2 linked regions of the Oryzias latipes genome follow. The protein of the gene in region 1 interacts with the protein of each later gene in a biochemical or structural test. Links are inferred from orthologs where the notes say so. Each region holds a gene or a part of one and is shown on either strand. Other genes may lie near its edges. The genes, in order: cgas and rnf185.

Region 1 (5,813 bases):
ATTATGCATAGAGGTTCAGGCTATTTTATCGTGGAGTGGATGGAAGGAAAAATGCAGTACTTTTGATGGGGAGTTTGGCAAGAATTGCTTAACAAATAATAATGACAATGGTGAACTCTTTTTTTTTTTTTACTGAAAAGAGAGGAACACCTGTTAAGAATGGAGGAAGAGGCTCAAACACTGATTGTAGCTTGTGCAGATGTTGAAATCTGAAAGAGATCAGCAAAAGTTGTGGTTTGGAAGAGTGTAGCTGATAGTAATAAGACTGTGGTGTCAGGATGACCTGTAGTGAGGAAGATGACAAAGACAGAGCAGAGGACCAAGCGGTGATAGTGGAAAAAGCAAGAGTGCTGAGGGATTTTTGGAGAGGAACTGAAACAAACTTCAGGAGATCAGGAGGTTCTCCCAGATGACTGGGAAGAAAATACTTAGCTTTTTTCATTCACCAAGGACATGACACACCAAGGACGTTTGGGAGTGTTAAGAGAAAAAGGTTTGCGAACAAAAAGGGTGACACCAAGAAGACAACAGTTAGGAGTACAGTGAAATGCAGCACAAGGTTGAGGTGGCAAATACTAACCAAAGGGTGGATGAGGACTTGAAGATGTGGTTCTGTACTGGTCTAGCCAGTTAAACAGAAATGGAAGGATTTAAAGCTGTTAAAGGTCATCAAAAACAGGCATGGAAATGTGTTAACCAGTTCCACAAGTGAGATGGAAAGATGGAAGGATAACTTCGAAGAACAAATGAATCAGGAAACTGTGGAACAAGAAGTAGCAAAGATCAGTAAGGCTGACATGAGGAAAACAATCCAGATGATGAAAATCTTTGGAAAGGCAGTTGGGTCTGACAAAATACCTGTGGAGGTATGGAGGAAACAGTTTGGGAGAGGTGGCAGTAGAGTTTCTGACCTGATTGTTTAACAAGACTTTGGAGAATCAGAGGATGCCTGAGGAAAGAAGGAGAAGCATCCTGCTGCCAATTTTGAAGAAGTGAGAAGTGCAGAACTGTGAAAAATACAGAGGAATAAAGCTGATGAATCCCAATGAAGTTATAGGAAAGAGTAGTGGCAGCTAGACTGAGGCCAGACTTATCGTTGCATGGCAAGGAGAGAACCACAGATGCAATATTTGCTTTGAGGATGAAGCTGGAGAAGAACAGAAAAGGTAAGAAAAAGCTGCATTGTGTCTTTGTAGATCCAGTGAAAGTCTATGACAGAAACAGAGAGAAGCTGAGCTTTGAATGAGGAAGTCTGGAGTGACAGAAAACAACGTCGGAGTTGTGCAAGACATGAAAGCTGACAGCGGTAGTAGTTAGATGTGCTGTAGATGTGACAGAGGAGTTCAACGTGGAATTTCAAGTTGGTGGAAACTCCCAACAGTGCTGAACCACACCCACTCACTGCAGTAAAGCAACCGGTCAAAGGAAGGTGACTGCATTTCCAAGGGCTGGTGGTGGGAGAAGCAGCAGTCTTCAATGCAGGCGGAGACGACTAAATTCAGAACAATGCAGGCAGAATGCACCGCTGGCAGGGCGGATTAAGGCAGGGTGCGACACAACCCTGTGGGGAATAGGCGGAAGATCAGAGCAGCACACTTTCAACTAGGGTTGGGCGATGTCCCTTAATTTGGCAGTAATAATTAATTAGTAATTTTTCATTATTATATAATTACTATTCATAATTTTACTTTATTTTATTTCCTAACTAATGACTCATCCGTGAGGAAGAAATAATGTGAAGTATAAACTGAGGGAAGTGACTTTAACAAAAAAAATAAACAAAATAGAAAAGAAGTAGTCCACTCCTGCACTTGATTAGTCAAGTGGACCGGTGGCCCGAGCGACCGTGTGAACGTTTGTTCTAATCGGAAAACATTTTTCTGGGCACATGCTCATGGTTGAATTCTAATCAGACCATTGATCCGTTCAAGATATTTTGCACATGTACCCGTGGCTTATGGTGTCGACTCGCAGCGTGGCGGGGGCGTGGCATCACAAACGTGTCTCTCCAGATGCCAGTCAGCCTTCACGATGGACGATGATATCGTGTGTCTAAATAAATGTGGCGATCACTCTCAGCTGGTCTGTGGCTGAGAGTGAAGTCAGAGTAAAAATAATTTGTTTGTGAGTGACTTTTTGATTCTGAAGAACTTACTGGTGAAGTTTGGCACGGTAGGCCAGGTACCATGCAGCACCAACCAATCAACACGCAGGATATTGGCAGCACCTGCTCTGCAGGTGAACTCAATTTATCCTGTCACAAAAGAAATGTGCAGAAGACTGTGGTAAAAGCAATCATGTTGTTGGTTTTGAGACTTTGAGGAAAGAAAGGAGGCAGAGCTGGAAGTAGCAGAGATTAAGATGTTGAGTGGCATGGTTGGATAGGATCAGGAATTAATCCATCAGAGAAAGAGATTATGGTAGATGTTTTGGATACAGATGCAGGGAAGCAGATTGTGATGGTCTGTACTAGGGGGACATCAGTTGATCTCTGGTTTGGTGACATTGGGAGGAGGAACAGTGATGATGTTGGGGTTGCATGCTGAGGTTGGAGATAGCAGGAAACAGGTCTATAGGAAGGACAAAGGAGAAGATCATGGATATAGGAGAGGATATGAGGAGGCTTGGTTTGAATGACGACACAGAGAGGATTAGATGGAGGCTCTTCCAAGATGATAAAACAAAAATAGAACCATAAAGTTCTTTTCAAAGCTAAACATTCAAACATGTCTAGATGCATTTTACATGTAAAATTTTTGTATTTTCATGTATTTTACAATATTTATTTGGTGGTTATGAAATGTCAATAGGAATCACAAAATGCCAACTACTCCTAAGAAATCAAATCCCTGTGCTCACAATACTCTGACAGTCCTCACTGAAAGCTTCTTTCGTCATGTGTTCACTCAGGAAAGACTGTCTGAAGCTCCTGAAACATCTTTTGCATCTCCTGAAAGAGCACGACCCTTCCCTGAAGGATGTCTGTTCCTATCACGCCAAGACAACGCTACTGCACGCCTGCTGCGCCCGCAACAAAGACGACGACTGGAAAGCCTCAGAGCTCCTTGGCTGCTTTAAGCAACTCCTGCTGGACTTTCAAGGCCACCTGGAAGCTGGGAAGCTCCAGAACTTCTTTGTTCCCGGCCAAAACCTGCTTTCCGGCATAACAAAGAAAACTTTAAATGACCTTGCCAAGCAGATAGAGGAGCAACTATTGAACGGGTTTCCAATTTTTGCCGCAGGGCTTTAAATGAAGTCAATCAAGTTTTGTTTTCAGCACTACATTTAGTGTTCAAAGTTCATGTAAACATTTAAACATGTAAAAGGATAAAATGAAATAAAACTTTTGTGTAAAAGCTTTTCATTGCTGTACATTAAAATTCAAAGTCCCACTCTGATCATGTTTTGTTCCCAGTGGTCATTTAATTATGATATTTTTTAGCCAAAATCAACAAACCTGTCTCATTCTCTAGAACACTTTGATCTTTAACAGTTTGATTTCAATATTTGTGATTTTAAAAATGACAAACTTTTCTACTTAAAATCTAGTTTTTGGACAGTTTTGGGATAATGTGCAGTTATTCTGTAATTAAAATACTTGTTAAAAAGCTGGGGTTGTTCTAAAAGATGGACATCAATCATTGCCACATTAAACAGCTTTAAAAATAAATAATAAATAGAGCAAAGTGTGAAGTAGAATAAAAAGCTAATAGACTTGGCGTCAAAGTCCGACTTCAATCATCTTTTGATCTATTTTAAAGACATTTCCAGTGGTCTTTTAAATATAATTATAGCCAATATAAAAAAAACTGTCATTTTCCAAGACATAGTTTCTGTAGAGCAGCATGAGTTCATTAAAAATTCACCTCTGACTTGTGGCCAGGACTATTTGTGTAGAGCAACCCGCAACCAACTTAGCATTAGCGGTGCAACCAATATCGGAGCCATCCAGTCGTCCATTTTTGAGCCAAATGCAAGCTCAGAAAAGGAAAACAACTTATCTATTTTTCTGCAAGCAAATGCATCAGAAGGGAGCGGAGCATTTTCTGTCACAAATGAGCTCTTCTTCAAACTGAATTTTTGCGTCTGCTCCTGATTCACCAAATTTGAATCGAGAAATACCCAGAAAAACAATTATAGGTCTAAAATTTCTTTAAAAATGTCTTCTGTCATTGGACCAATGCTACAAGAACATGTAAAAAAAAACACCAGAAACGTAAAGTGGGTCTTTAATGGAACTTGAAAAGGCTCCTTATCCGATTCATCAATACAAACCACTTGATCTGCAGTTGAAACTTAACATGTGATGAGTTATGATCACATTTAGGGTCATGTTACCAAAGTAGTTAATTGTGCTTAACTGGAGCACTGTGACTATGTGTAGAGACTTAGCTTACATATGAACTCAGCAGCCAGAAAACTACATTTCATATTTGAGCTTCCTTTGCTTTCAAACACTTGGCAGGGAACCTCTAGGTGGATTTACTAACAGAAAACAACAAAATGGCTAAAAGTAGCAAAACTAAAGATACTTTTAATACTACTACATTACAAGGATGATTGAAAACTGTCGTACCTTGTTGTTTTTCCAGAAGTTGCTGCAAACTCCTATTTTGGTTTTTGTAGCCTAACACGCACAGGCCTCCTGCAAAGAGAAATCCTGACAGAGTGAAAGACGTTTCCTCCTGCCAGCACCATGCTGCTGAGTGCCAATGCTTTAATGAGACGAGAAAATCAGAGAAAAACCATTTATTTAGAAGAATGCATGCTGCTGAAACAGCAAATCCTTAATCAAAAAACAACCTCTCTTAGAACAAAATAATGAATTGACAAAAACTAAACAAAAGAACAGCAAAAACAAACTTTTTTTATAAAACATGAGACGACTGGAAGTTTCTGATCACTTGAGCCTGTGAAGAAGATAAGAAAATGAAAATTCAATTGTATTGTATTATTGAATAGAGGAGAGCTAAAGGTTTCTTTATGACATACAAATGTAGAGCATTAGAACTTCCAGCTCTGAGCTTGGTCTCTTCTGCTTCCCCTTCCACCATCTCTTCTTCCTCCATCTCTTCTTCCTCCATAACCTCCTCCTCCTGAACCGTACATCAGCTTCTCTCTCTTGTGTTTCTCATATCTTTCCGCCATGAGCACCAGCTCATGAGGCACTTCCTGCAAACAAGCCCCACCCCCTTGGAGTTTTTACAAACTAATAAATTAACAAGAAAAACTGATTAAGCTGTCAAATGAGCTTGATTGAAATGAAAGCCACTGGCTTGTTCTCATTTGTGTGTTTTCTGACTTGTCCTGATCGCTCCAAGATGGGAATCAGCTCTGGCGCCATCCTCCAGTCTTCCCTCGTTACCAAGGTAACAGCAGCACCGGATCGCCTGGAATATACGCGCATTAGCGTCACGAGACAGCGAATGCAACGCCATGAGAAACAGGAGCTCGTTTGAAAGAATACCAGAAAACTTTCAGCTATAGTGGAGCTTCAGTACATTTACCTTAGTCAAACCAAAGTGCAGGTGAAATATGGGCAAACCAGTATGGGGAACCCAAATATGGTCAGTGAACCCGTAAAGTAAAAATGTTCAACATTTTGTTCTGCATGCTGCAAGCAACAGGTCGTAGCAAAAACTTAACTCTAAACAACACATGCTACAATTCTTTGTGTAACTTAGCATGACATTTAGGATATATACAACTTTCCTCTGCTGGTTGGTCTTTATACACCAGCTGCAGCAGAGCGAGGTTGGTGCAGCCTCGGTAGCCGTTATCATGACAACGGATCACAACACGTGTCACATGAA
Region 2 (7,498 bases), on another chromosome or scaffold:
TTCTTTTATTTATTGAATAAATTCTGGTCATTTTGAACTAACTCTTTTCCCTCCAAAGGTTAGCAAATGCTAAGACAAACATCTGACAAATACATAAATAATTCACATTTTTTTCAGTTGGCGTCATGTGATATGTCAAAACTCAAAGGTAGACTACAATTTTTCACCATTTTGTTAGTGTTACCAACAAAAACCAAGAAAAAGGAACAAATCTTTTCTTAAATATATAAAACATACATTGTCATTATTTAGTACAGGACTTTTATTATTATTATCATTATTATATTTTTGTGCTTTTTTTCTCATTACCTTCACTGTTGTTCAAAACTGCAGCAAGACAGGATCTTACATGGGCAGCCCTGAAATTTTTGTGGTAATTTTTAACCGGAACACTGATCAGGAAGCAGAAGGGAGAAGTTGAGTATCGGAGCAAGACGCAAAAACCCCGAGTTCACATTGGCTTCAACATCAAAAGAATCTTGTGAGTATTTCTATGTCTTTCTGTCTTTGCTTCTTATATTTACGGTTTATGGGAAAAAAATGTTTTGCTAATTCGTTTTTCAGGGGAAGCAACCATGGATCTGGACTATCCTAATTATGAAGATTATGTGCCTCAAAACGAAACGGAGGAGACCTCAAAATCAACAAAAATCTTCCATTTTGCTGATCCTCAGATTGGTCTAACTCAATTTCTTGTGGCCTTTAACATCCTGATATCCACTCTTGGGATTGCCGGAAACTCGTTAGTGGTTTGGGTTTGCGGATGTAAAATGAAAAGATCAGTTTTAACCACCTGGTACACCTCCCTTGCGATTTCAAATCTTTTATTCTGTGTCTTTTTGCCCTTTGATGTTTTCTACACCATAACCTCAAACTGGCCTTTTGGGGTTGTCTTGTGCAAACTCACTTCATCTGCTCTGTTTCTCAACATGTACAGCAGTGTGTTTGTGTTGGTTCTGATCAGTGCTGATCGATGTGTCCTGGTGTTGTTCCCTGTGTGGGCGCACAACCACCGGACAGTTCGGAAAGCCTCTGGAGTGGTCATCCTGGTGTGGCTCCTGTCTGCACTCTTGACCTTGCCCACGATCGTCTTCCGACAAGTCACAGTCCACGGTTCGGTCACTCAGTGCTACACAGATTATGTGAACCATTCCAGACACACAGCAGTGGCCCTGAGTCGATTCGTCTTTGGCTTTCTGATTCCTTTTCCAGTAATTATCCTCTGCTGCGTGGTGCTTAGTCTTAAGATGAAAGGTTTGACTGTCAGGTCAAGGAAACCTTATAAAATTATGGTGGCACTCATCTTGTCGTTTTTCTGCTGCTGGATGCCTTATCATACCTTCGTCCTCTTGGAGCTGGACTTTAAGAATTATAACTTAGAAATACTTAAAACTGGACTGAAAGTAGGAGCCACCTTGGCTTCGGCTAACAGCTTTGTTTCTCCCATTCTCTACGTTTTTATTGGTAACGACTTCAAGCAAACCCTGAAGAAATCTTTGACATCTAAGATTGAGGAAGCCATGGGCGAGGATCTACGAACTGTTGCCCTTAATAATTCAAGATCCAAGTCCCTGGACATCATCAAATGTTAATTTGATGCACTCATCAATACTAATGTGACAACATCAATAAGGGACATAATAATAATATGTTTGAGTTGAGTCTTTGCTGTTATTCCGATTCTACTGGACTAAACATTACATTTGATCACTGTACTTGACTGCTGCTATTAGATCTTGAATGTTCTGCCTATATAAACAAAAAAGGCTACAAACAAATCAATACATTTTGGTAATTTTTACATTTGTTTTGGGTTGATTACCAAATTGAAATATAACTAAAGATGAATAAAAACGTTTTTTTTCCCTTGATGAAAACAGTCAAATTGAGACATAAAGAAAAAACTGTGATAAATTGTGTTTTTATTTTTTAAATATATACAAAAAAATGTTTAAAGTGTACAAAAAAGCTGCTTTATGACTTTGAAAAAATAAATGTAAAAAAAATGTGAATACAAATTTGAATGTAAAGTTTTGTTCAGGTGAAATTAATTGTTTTAGAGCAATACAGATTGATAAAAACTACATTTAAAAACTTTTTCTGTTTCATTCTTGAGTTACACATTACACTACACAAATTTGTCTTTTTTGATTAACAGTTAAAATTGAAACCATGTTTTTTTGCTGTATATTCTAGTAAAAAAACTATCACTGTTGTCATTTTTTCTATATTTCCAGGGGCGCAAAAAGTAGGTATGCAGCACATGATTGGTATGGGGGCGCCGGCCAAAGGGGGCGCCAAACCGATGTTATTACAATTATTTATAGTCCGTATTTTTTAATTTCCCACCTGTTTGTGCACTTATATTTACATGATATGGTCAGTAACAGAAGCACATCGTAACTGATTGGGTGCCCCCACGGCAGTTTTCATAATAAATAAATAAAATCATGCATTAGCAAGACGTTCAATTTATTTTAAACATGAAATAATTGTTGGTTGGCCATATGATTTAGTGGAGAAGAACACAGACAAGAGGTGAAGGAGACAGACGTGAGGTTGGTGATGCATCTGATATACAAGAGAGCAGAAATGACTTCAGGTAGGAATAATTAAACTATTGAAGTCACAAAAACCTAGATGCTCATTCTGGTTTAAGCTTCTGCTGACCACCTGTTCACTTATTTTAGGAAAACAAGTGCAGACATACATGACAAGTCAGTCCCAACAGAGAAGAATAAGGAGAGAGGTTCAGATGATGATGATGATAGAGAGAAAGAGAGACGATCAGCTGATGATGAAGAGGGAGAAGAACAGAGAGGTGCAGAGGAGAGAGCCGGGGCCAGGCTTTACTCAGAAGATCCTTCTGAATGAGCTTCACCACACAAATTTGGGGAATCATTGAGGCAATACACGGTTGTAAATAGCTCACTAAAATATTCTGATACTCCAAGATCAGATAAGAAGTAATGAGATGTACACAGTTAAACAATAAAGGTGTTGTTTAGATAGCTTTAGGAGGGGTGGATGAGATGTTTTTTTAATGTGCATTTATGTCTGTGTGCGTGGGGGGGGGGGGGGGGGGTAATGAGGCCGCATGTGAAATTAGGTAGTTGCGCCCCTGTTTATTTCTTCAAGGTTTTTATTACGTTTATGATTTTTTTTTAAATGTATGCACGCTAAAAACTTCTCGGTTATTTAAAGAAAAGTTTTAAACTTTTTTCTATAAAGTTCGTTTTAAAGAAATTATTAAGGGTTGTTGGCTATTTCGTGAATATTCTGCCCCGCCTTCTTTCTTTTGACCAGGAACTAACTTGTCGCGTGCTTGTGAAGCAGCGGATATGACGTCACATCATGTAAGAATATTTTTCCTAACTCAGAACTTCAACTTATGGTTTGCCGCTGTGATTCAATTTGGACGTAGATATCAGACTGGTTTATAATTTAAACTGTTTTTCTGTAGTACTTTTTATTGTTTGTTTATTTTCGTAGTAAAGTATACGTCAGTGGGTAAAAACCCGTCTTTACGGCTTTGTTTGCTAGCATTAGCCTGGAATTAAACGGACCGAGCGACCAACTGCGAAAATTCATTGAAACTCCGTGACTCATTGTCTTCGTTTGCTATCCAGTGGGGCCTTCATATGTGCGAGTTTTGAGGCAAGTTCGTTAGTGTTGGCTGTGAGGATCCAGATTTGATTATGGCCGCGGCTGCCCCCTCAGCCCCAGCCTCTGGCTCCACGGCTGAAAGCACAACTTCGGGATCGAGCAGCTCGGCCGCAGCGGAGGGAGGCAGCCAGGACAGCACCTTCGAGTGTAACATCTGCCTGGACACCGCGAAAGATGCTGTGATCAGTCTTTGCGGACACCTCTTCTGGTAAGTTACCAGCTATTCTTTACTATGTTTACATGGTTGAAATTCCTCCTAGTATTTGTTTGAGACTGTAGTTCTGCATGTGTAACAAGTAAAATACATGAATGTAAACATCAGTAAAGCAAACACACCAAAAAAAATTCCCCATATAGCTATACAACTGTGTTCTGTTGCCTTTTGGTCTCAAAAGTATAATTAAATTGTAAGGGTTAGGATCGTTAATGTTATCAACAGTCCTTGGGAACCCCCACTTCTTTTGGGTGCCCTCCTCCTGGGCAGGGGTGCCTGGCCCCGCTTTGCCCTCTCCTGGACCTCCCATGGGCTGGGTGGGTGGCTGCCTGGAGCATGGGGTGGGTCTCCCTTGGGTGGGGGGATGCTCAGAAACGAACTCCTGGGTGGTGGGCTGCTCATCTGGGGCTTGGGTGCTCTCCTATTGGGGGGCTATTCTTCTGGTCGGGCTGGGCCTTGCACTCTCTTTTCCCCTTTGCCTCCCTGCTGTCTGGCATTGGGGGGGGGCTGTGGCGATCCTGCTGGCCCTGGCCTGGGTGGCAGATGTGATTGCCCGGCCGGCAGTTTTTCTTTATCTGCTATATCATGCGGGAGTTGGGGGTCCTGACTACCACTGCTGCTTCAGCCGGGGTCTTGGGGTGGGGATGACTGGGCACTCTCTCTCTTTTTTTTTTTACATTCCCTCATCCACCTCAGAAGGACATAAACCTCTCTCTTCTTCCCTCTTCTTCTTTTCTGTCCGGTCCAACAAAAAACGGTTTCAAATATATTTAATATAAATAAAGTTAAGTCTAAATTACCGAAGTGGTATATTAAAATATTCATCTTGTGTGTTAGAAGATTCATAACCCCCTGTTGTACCGTAATGTCTGACACAAGAGGCCTTCAGCTCTCATCTGTTTGCTCAGCTGTTGAACAGGAAAAGTAAAAAAAAAAGGATAGTTAAAACCATATTTTTTTCAAGATAAAAATAATAATTTTTTGCATATTTTGCCAGAGAATCTAATCACATGAGAAATTCTCCAAAAACTGCAGGATGATAAATAAAAGGAACTTGAACATATTGTTTTCCTATTGAGTTATGCGTGCTGATAAGATTGTATTTAAAAGAATGTCAATGTTTTTAAGTACAAGGGAGCCAATTAAACTGTGAATAGAGCTTCGTAGAATAGTTTATGAAGCTTATCTGTGGTTAACTCAGATTTTTGACCTGAAGTTGTTTTGTAACATAAAGAAATCAATAGGTTTGGTCATACGACTGAAGAATTTAGCTAAACGTCATGTTACTACTTGCAGCTAACAAACTGATATTTCAGAAGCATCTCTGAAAGTTGTAGTTCTGGAGTTAGATAACTGGTACATCGCCTGTCCGTCCTGGGGAGGATCCCTCCTTCATGTGGACACCCCTGAGAGTTCTTCTTTTTTTACGGAGTCCGTTTGTTTTAGGAGTTTTTCCTTACCATGAAGGAGGGGTCTGAGGGCAGAGATGCCCTGTTTAGTTTAATCTGTTTAGTTGATTCAGTTTAAAATTTTCCTATTGAATTCAATATATTTTTGATCCTTTTATTTTATGTTTACTTTACAATTACTGGTACGAAGCCCATTGAGATAACTGTTGTTGGGATTTTGGGCTGTACAAATAAAATGTAATTGAATTGAAAGCAACAGGAAGCCTCATTGTAAATCTGCGTACAATACCGAAGTGTAGAGACTCACCAGAAATAGACTTCCAAGTTTAAATCAGGTCCTGGGTGTCTTAAGCTGCATAGAAACTTCTAAAATTCCACTATTTTTTCTCAAATTAATGTTTTTGTGTTTTCTGTAAATAAATTCCATATGTTATTTATCTCAGCGACTTCAGTCTTGTGTCGTGCAGCATTTGGGTAGTGTATAAAAAAGGCAGATCCAATGGAACAATAAAGCTTTAGAAAAAAATATGTGTTATTCTGTTTAATGTTTTTTTGTAAAGGGCCAATTCAGTACCAGGTTGTCTTAAAGTTTAGAGAAAGATCAAAGTCTAAAAGTTACATTTTGAATTTTTATAATTTGAATAATAGCACAATTACATTTCCGTGTGTCCTTTATAAACATTTGGCAAATTACATAAGGGAATTTTAAGTGTAATGCTCTGTACAGATCTTCTTTAATCAGGCTTGTATTATTATTTTAATGAATGAAATGTGATCTCTATTCTTTTAACTTCTATAGTTGGCCGTGTTTGCATCAGGTAAGCAGCTTTGTCTTCTTCTCTTAACACTAAGCTCAAGTGGTTTTATTGGCTTTCTAACAACCCTCCTGTCTTCACGCAGTGGTTAGAAACTCGACCCAATAGACAAGTGTGTCCAGTTTGTAAAGCTGGCATCAGCCGGGACAAAGTCATCCCCTTATATGGGAGGGGGAGCACGGGTCAGCAGGATCCCAGGTGGCTATTTAACCTCGAATTTTAGAAATCATGTGAGCAAATTATCAATTTATTAGCACAAAAAAAAGACATGGGACTCTGTTTTGCAGAGAAAGAACCCCCCCTCGACCTCAAGGACAACGGCCTGAGCCAGAGAACCGCGGTGTAAGTATGAGCAGGAATATGTCTGTGTTATTGCATCAAAATAACAAATAAGTTTGTGTAGATTCTTGCCTCATCCATTAACTAAACCACGGAGTCTCATTACACACTAGCAGCTGAGATGCAGCTCTTCCCGTGAGAGTGAGCAGGGATTTTACAACCTGTTGCATCAACGTTAGCTTCCCGTCAGACCCCCTCAGCTGTCACGGCGCTCCTTTCAGGGTTTTCAGGGGTTCGGCTTCGGCGATGGAGGTTTCCAGATGTCGTTCGGAATCGGCGCCTTCCCGTTTGGTATTTTCGCCACGGCCTTCAACATCAACGATGGTCGGCCTCCCCCAGGTAGCTCTCCTGAATGATCTCTGTGTTGTAGCATGAGTCTAAAAAAAACTAACCTGTGGGGTTCTTACTTGACACAGCAGCTCCTGGGACGCCTCAACACACAGACGAACAGTTTCTATCCCGACTCTTCCTATTTGTCGCCCTGGTCATCATGTTCTGGCTGCTGATTGCATGAAGAGGTCGCACAAAGATAAACTGTGACGGATTTGCCTTTTTAGATCTTTTTAGCATTTCTACCTTAGACAAAAAATGAAAATGTAATCATCAGATTTTCAAAAATTACAAAACTCATGAGTATTTAACATCAACCACCAGTCATTGGAAATTCTTCAAAAAACATGCATGCTTGCACTTTCTGCACATGCAAGAAAGCAGCACCAATAAAGAAAAAAGTCCATTTGATTCCTTCCTATTATTTCTCCTCACTGCAGCCCTCATAGATGCAACAGACAGTGTCAGGTTTTGAAGGAAAGACTGTAAATGTTGTGCATGATACTGTAAATGAGAGATTTTAGTCACTACCCGCCCGGATGTTTACAAACTTCTACTCTTTTGTCTGCTTTGTGCAGCCATAATAAATTCACTTTCTCCTTTTAATTTTGGATGATCTTTACTTGCTCAGCTCTGTTTCTCTGTAATTAAATGTAAAAACAAACTGTACATGACAAAACAAAATACTGTTAAATATGTATTAACTTTGCAAAATGTGTATATCC

The links.
Region 2: of the proteins of cgas (region 1) and rnf185, one has a biochemical effect on the other in vitro, tested with the Homo sapiens proteins (2 studies listed by BioGRID). The link is inferred for Oryzias latipes from reciprocal best matches to the Homo sapiens genes CGAS and RNF185.

What each region holds. Positions count from the first base shown.
Region 1 is NC_019873.2:11,009,297-11,015,109, forward strand, and holds the end of cgas (cyclic GMP-AMP synthase), read left to right. Parts: intron 1-2,910; coding exon 2,911-3,250; 3' UTR 3,251-3,398; downstream 3,399-5,813. Other genes in the region: probable ATP-dependent RNA helicase DDX43, read right to left, coding at 5,005-5,172, 5,303-5,390. UniProt on the Homo sapiens protein: Nucleotidyltransferase that catalyzes the formation of cyclic GMP-AMP (2',3'-cGAMP) from ATP and GTP and plays a key role in innate immunity.
Region 2 is NC_019870.2:13,775,329-13,782,826, forward strand, and holds the start of rnf185 (E3 ubiquitin-protein ligase RNF185), read left to right. Parts: upstream 1-3,282; 5' UTR 3,283-3,356; exon of another isoform or gene 3,357-3,629; 5' UTR 3,630-3,698; coding exon 3,699-3,874; intron 3,875-6,088; coding exon 6,089-6,107; intron 6,108-6,189; coding exon 6,190-6,302; intron 6,303-6,391; coding exon 6,392-6,446; intron 6,447-6,664; coding exon 6,665-6,782; intron 6,783-6,859; coding exon 6,860-6,957; 3' UTR 6,958-7,498. Other genes in the region: chemokine-like receptor 1, read left to right, coding at 576-1,592. UniProt on the Homo sapiens protein: E3 ubiquitin-protein ligase that regulates selective mitochondrial autophagy by mediating 'Lys-63'-linked polyubiquitination of BNIP1.